2 linked regions of the Caenorhabditis elegans genome follow. The protein of the gene in region 1 interacts with the protein of each later gene in a pairwise test. Each region holds a gene or a part of one and is shown on either strand. Other genes may lie near its edges. The genes, in order: F59A6.2 and rpb-11.

What was found.
Region 2: the proteins of F59A6.2 (region 1) and rpb-11 interact in a two-hybrid assay, tested with the Caenorhabditis elegans proteins (one large-scale study listed by BioGRID).

Annotation. Positions count from the first base shown.
Region 1 is NC_003280.10:5,012,816-5,016,098, forward strand, and holds F59A6.2 (50S ribosomal protein L29), read left to right. Parts: upstream 1-1,883; 5' UTR 1,884-1,944; coding exon 1,945-2,130; intron 2,131-2,297; coding exon 2,298-2,468; 3' UTR 2,469-2,513; downstream 2,514-3,283.
Region 2 is NC_003280.10:14,058,121-14,061,369, forward strand, and holds rpb-11 (putative DNA-directed RNA polymerase II subunit RPB11), read left to right. Parts: upstream 1-1,964; 5' UTR 1,965-1,969; coding exon 1,970-2,044; intron 2,045-2,092; coding exon 2,093-2,157; intron 2,158-2,212; coding exon 2,213-2,441; 3' UTR 2,442-2,504; downstream 2,505-3,249. Other genes in the region: W01G7.4 (putative RNA polymerase II nuclear localization protein SLC7A6OS), read left to right, coding at 2,619-2,912, 2,965-3,249. UniProt on the Caenorhabditis elegans protein: DNA-dependent RNA polymerase catalyzes the transcription of DNA into RNA using the four ribonucleoside triphosphates as substrates. Component of RNA polymerase II which synthesizes mRNA precursors and many functional non-coding RNAs.

The sequences.
Region 1 (3,283 bases):
CAAGAGAAAAAACAACGAGCTTTCAAAATTCATTTATTGAGCAAGGTCGAAGAGGGCTCTATGGGTTGTACTCAATTGGAAGGTTCTTGCGACGAACCATACCGTCTCCTTGGAACCATTCACGGCGGAATTGCTTTGCAGCTCCATCCGGGGTGTTGGTCCACTCAACAGTAATACGGTCGTTGTTAGTGTCCTACTGTCCAAAGGCGAAGGCATCACAGGAAACAGCAAGAAGGACTGCTTCCTTTGGGTCCAAAACTCCACATGGTGGATCAACTCCAAGTCTCTTCATATTGGTGGTCTTGATACCGTATCCAATACGGCGAGCCGAGGAGTTGATCACCTTGATGTGGTAGGTGTGCTTGTCATCGTATGGTGCATTGAAGACGATCTTCGTACCCGGCTGGGTCTGGATATCTCCTGGTGGGACGGATTGGGCACTGGCGACTTCTTTGTAGAGTGTGGAAACTTACAGTGAAGATTATGGTAAACTCTGCTCAATTTATAGCAAATTTCTCTCTTATCTTTGTCCCAGATCTTTACAATAGCCACGTCACATAAAGTTCAGAAAGTTAATAAATTAATTTAATGATTTTTAAAATCCGTGAAAGAGTTAAATTTTAGGAATGATTTTGAAAATATATTTTTAATCTATTGCCGCACAGGTCTTTGGCTTCAGCATAACTATGCATGAAAAAACATGAAAAACCCATCTTACTCTGTTCGGCCCTATCAAAAATCTCTAAAAAATGTTTCACTAGATATTTTTCAAATTTTTTGAATATTCCGACAAGAAAGCATCTCATTTCATATCTTCAATTTGACGGAAGTTTAGTTATAAGTTCCAAAGTAGTTTTAAAGTTCAAGGCAAAAATTTAATCGGATATTAATATGACCTTTTTCCTGTTTGTAAACGTTTGTTTTTCAAACATCTCCTTTTTTCAGGAACTGATCTTTGGGTTGATAACACATTTTGAATTTTCAAAATCCAAATCCTTACCATGATATTCAACGAAATTCTCAGCAAAAAAATAACCAAAAATAAAAACTCAATTTTTGATTCAATTTAACTTTTGAAGATTTCAGGTGATTTTATTTTCAGGGTCTTATATATTTCCCCAACATCTTCCACCTGCTAAGTTGGCTAACCAATTTCCTTTTTTTCAGTAAAAAATGTTGATGCCCACGCCTTTTTCCTCATTTCTCAATTCATCGTGAAAGCGGTCCCAAGAGATATTGGAGCGTGTATTCTCAGACAAAATTAAGTTTTGTTCCAGACGAGGCGGCACAAACTCCATTTTCATCACACGTTTTTCTGTCTCACAAATATTGCAGTTCGTTGTGTATTCTCAAATTTATTCAAAAATCAAACCACAAATATTTGATTCAATTATTTTCATACCCTTTGAAAGTTGTACAATTTATTTCGCAATTTTTTGTATATCTAATTGAATAATCTTTGGACCTTCTTGATTTTTTTCCAGCTATTTAATTCAATGCAGAACACTATTTGATTCTTTTTTCTCAAAGACGCAAAAAATGCCTGATTGTCTTGAAGGCTGCTTACGCCTCCTTCGTGCCTACTGCCAAATCATAAGCAAGCTGAACTTTCAGTAAATTAATTGAACTTTTTGAAAACCTTGAATCTACAGTGTGCCATTACCAAACCATTACCAAACACCGGGACTCGTCGAGCTAAAATGCAAAAAAATAGGTAGGCACGCAGGCAGGCAAGCATTTTTTTTAAGGGTTTTAATCTTAAAACGGTTTTCGTACAAATTTTACTTTTATTTTTCATTTACAATTTTAAATTTTTTATTTTTTCGTAACCCTTTTCACGGACGGAATTTCCCCCTCTCCCCTTCTTCAACCAAAAAAATGTCAGTTTAAAAATTTCGTAGAATAATTTATTCTGAATTTTTCGATTATCGAAAACGATCAAGTATGGCAGAAGGAGGAACTCCAGTGGTGGCAACAAAACCACCAGTCGATAATGCAAAGATGTTGGGCGAGCTGAAGCTGAGACTGATGCACACGAAGAAGGGACTCCTCGCTATTCGAGGAGAGCTACAGAGAAGAGCTGAAATATGGGGAGCTGCTCAAGAGGAGATCACTGCACTGGAGAAAATGGTATGTTTATTTTGAAATTTAATAGATACTTTTGTAGTTTGCTGCTCTAACACCTGAAACGCCTTGACTCCTCATGGGTTATCTTATGAACGCACCTGAATTAAGAGCGCCCAAATCCCTTGAACTCTTAAATGCTGAAATCTAATCAATAATTTAATTAATTTCAGGCGAGCGATGCAAAGGAGAGGATCCAGAAGCAGTCGGACCAAAAGAGAGAGGAGAGAAAGTTGGCGGCTCAAAAACGAAAGGAATTGAAACAGAAGCAAAAGGAAGAGAAAAAAGAAGAGTCAAAGGATGAGAAGGATGGAGCTGATGATGAAAAGAACGATGAGAATTAGCGAAACTCTTGCAAATTGAAATTTCGGAATAAACGTTTTGTAAAAGCCCTTGTTTTTGTAATTGTTGGAAGTTGATGGCGAATTTGTTCTAATGCCTAGAAATTTTATAGACCTATGTTGACCGGCGAACAGTTGAAATTTTTCAACGTCTAGATAAGCGGCCATATTGCTTGTAGTTTTTGAGATCCCTGGGCGCTGGAGAGGCGACGCTATCAGAACAAAGTTTATTCCCGAATTCTTAAAAGTTATTTATTTTGTGACAGTGACTTCTACGAAATTTCCGCTCACTATAAAAAAATATATCACTAGTTTGAAAATAAAATTTATTTTTTACTGAAAAACTCGAGAACTGAACTTTCAAAAACTGGTTGAAACTTGTCGTTTGCTGAAAAAATTTAGCAGCAGGTCTTTTTAAGTTTAAACTTTTTTATCGTATCGGAGAGCATTGTAGATTTTTCGAAAAAATTTTTCTAATCGTCTATCCACAAAACATCAAACTACATCCTGGCAAAATTGAAAAAAACCAGCTAACGATGTTTGAGGTAGACTACATTGTGATCCATGATCTAAAAATAAATAGGCTTCATTCATTTTTCATGAAACTTGTTAAAAATAGACTTTGACCATTAAATAAACGAGTTTCATAACTAAAAATGACTAAAAATGCTTCTCCTGATTACGAAATGTTTTTATAATATTTTTATCAGGCAAAATTCAAACTAAAACTAAACATTTTTGTATTCTAATCACTTTTTGCGGTACTCATTTTGTGTTCTTCTAAATAGAGTTACTTTATTTTGATGTCAATTTAAAAA
Region 2 (3,249 bases), 9.0 Mb from region 1:
TACCCCTACGGTACCATTACAGTACCCCTATAGTTTCTCTACAATACTGCTACAGTACTCTGACCGTATCCCCCTACCAACCCTAAACCGATATCCCTTCAAAAAACAAAGACTCGTTTTTTCCAAAACTACAGTAATCCTACAGTACTCCTACAGTACCACTACGTACTCCCATAGTAATCCTACAATGCCCTACGGTACCGAACTGTACCACTACTGTACCCTAGCACTAACTTCCACTTACCCGAACCCAATTTCCCTTCAAAAATGAAAAACAGGATCTACAAAAATACAGTAATCCTACAGTACTTCTACGGTACCATTACAGTACTCCAATAGTACCTCTACAGTACTACTACAGTACCTTGACCGTATCCCTCTACCAACCCCAAACCAATGTCCCTTAAAAAAACAAAAACTCATTTTTTCCAATACTACAGTAATCCTACAGTACTCCTATAGTAATTTTTTCACCAAAAAAACTATAAATTTTGAAGGAAACCAGTACGAGAAATGGTCACCAAACTGGTTAGTCAAAGTATTTTAAGGCTGAGGAATGGGTTATATCAATCGTGTGCGTGTGTGTGTGTGTGTGTCAACTTAATCGAGAGTAGTAGCTGATTCTATATTTAGTTACTATGTGTACTTGGCCGGTACTATTTTTAGAGTACTAAGGGGGGAGTCGCGGTTTTTTTGCTTTTGTTCAAATGGTTTGTTTGTGTTTTGCGTCTGAATTGCCTACCGTTTAGACTAGCAGGTAGGCTCAGAAAATGACTGCCTGCCTACGCGCCTGCCTACGCGCCTGCCTGCCCACGCGCCTGCCTACCAAACTAGTTCAACTCCTCAAATTTTTATGGTAAAAAACGCAACGATTCTAGCAAAAACACACCAAAACTCGGGGAACCAATCAGCGACGCCTACTGCCTACCTCTGATCGCGCGGGAATTCAAATTTTTGAATGTAGCCTTTGAACTTTTTTCGCCCAAAATACCGACTTTCAACTTCCGGGTAAGCTCTCTATAAATGAAACTGTCTAAACCTACAATTTTATTGACAAGTGCGCACTATTTTTAGGGCTCGGCGAGCCACCACCTGGTCAGACTAAATATTTTTCATTTGGTTTGTTGATTTTTGTCGGGGTTCTCCTCGTTTTTTGTCCCCCATTCAAATGATACTTTAAAGAAACATTTGAAGACGCTTTTTTATGAGGGGACAGCTGCAACTGCAGTTGTGCGGCCGAGCGCGATTGCTACCTCATGTTGAAAAAAACTGCAAACTTCTAAAAAACTCTTTTTTCTTTTTTTAAACTAGTCTTATAATGGCCATATTTTCTCTGTGAATGTTAAATTTTTTGGCCAAATTTGCAAGCGCGCTCTATTGTACTTTAGAAATTCTGAGCTTGAAATACAATTAATATATAATTAACCAGCCGTGGACCGCACCTCCGGCGCGGCCCCCGACTTCTGGGGCTGAAAATTAATTTTTTATGAAACTACCGTAACCCTACAGTATTCCTACCGTACCACTATTGTACCACTACAGTAGCTCGACTATATCCCTACACTAACCCTAACTCACTATCCCTCCAGAAGCCAAAACTTCACAAACAAATAGATAAAGTATATATTGCACGAAAACGTATACAAACATTGAAAATCGGGGGAAAAATTTGTGAAGGAGACAGAGAACGCTCCGACTATTGCTTCTTGCTTCTCAGATTTAATGACATTGCTTTTTTGATTTCGCGGAAATAGCAAATAGTCCATTTTGTGCGGAGTTTGGTGCAATCATCGGGAATTCACATTTGAATCACCGCGCAAAACGAGAATTGCGTCAAGGGCACCGAGAATGCGCTAGCAGTCATCCTTGCGCTATCTTTGATTTTCGAAGTTTGAATTATTTTAATTTTAAAACTATTTTTTAATTTTTCTTTGGATTTCATATTCAATTTTCTAAATTTTCAGCAAAAATGAATGCGCCAGCTGCTTTCGAATCATTTTTGCTTCTCGACGACAAGAAATTCTACATTGAAAAAGACACAAAGGTGAGAAAAATGATACTCAAAACGAAATGATAAAATTAATTTTCCTAGGTTCCAAATGCGGCGATCTTCACAATCATGAAGGAGGATCACACGCTGGGAAATATGCTGAAAATGTTAGAAAACCCGCATAATTTCGAAGATTTTCGATTTAATTCCTCAAATTTCCAGCCAACTTCTCAAGGACCCAGAGGTGCTGTTCGCCGGCTACAAGAACCCTCACCCGTTGGAGCACAAGATCTTGCTCCGAATCCAGACAACCAACAATACGACGCCAGCTGATGCTCTCACAACGGCCATAACCGATTTGGTGGGAGAACTCTCGTTGCTCGAGCATCGAATCGACGCGGCCATCAAAAAGTGCACTCAATCCGGCGACCAGGAGCGTGGATATAACTGATTTTTCACTTTTTCCTTACTGATCTCTTACTCTGAACTTTTATAAATTTTAAATTACGCTTTTTTCGCTTTTTTCTGCGTTTTTTTTCTCGAATTTTCTGGGTTTTTGCCCATTTTTTATTTTTTGAAACACTAAAATTCCCCCAAAAGCGCCCCCATTTCCCTCAATTTCCCTCAGATGACCGCGCCACTAATCCGTGTGAGCCGGAAGCGAACCGCAGATCCCCACGATGCTCTGATTCTGCACACCAAACGTGCAAAACACGGCGGCAATCCGCTGGTTTTCACGCTTTACAAGGCCGCCGGCAACGATCTGGAGCTCAATGGAGCCCGTGTGCTGGATCTTCCAACTCAGGAACATGGGATGGAGTTGGCTGACGAGGAAAATCCACTAGGATTTGTGAAGGATGAAGCCGTCGGGCTCGTTGGAGAGGTCGAGAAGAACGTTAAAAAGCCGGCGGAGCAAGTTTCGGTGAGCGCTGAGCTCACGGAGCCCGTGGAGCGCGCAAAAATTGTATTTCCAGCTCAACGGCCGCCTACTACAGCCCGTCACCGACGGCGGCGGCGCCGCCGCCGGCAGCAGTGACGACGTCGTATACGACTACTACGCGATACACGAGAAACGGGGCAACCCAGAAGTAGTGGGAAACCTGGAGCAGGACATCGAGGGAGCCGATTTTCGGTTCGCCAAGCGTGATGAGCTGGATTTGGGCGACGAAGATGACTCCGATGGGCCGCCGGCTGATGATGAAGACGATTCGAATGATGAGGATAACTGGCGGAATGACTATCCCGATGAGGAATCCTAT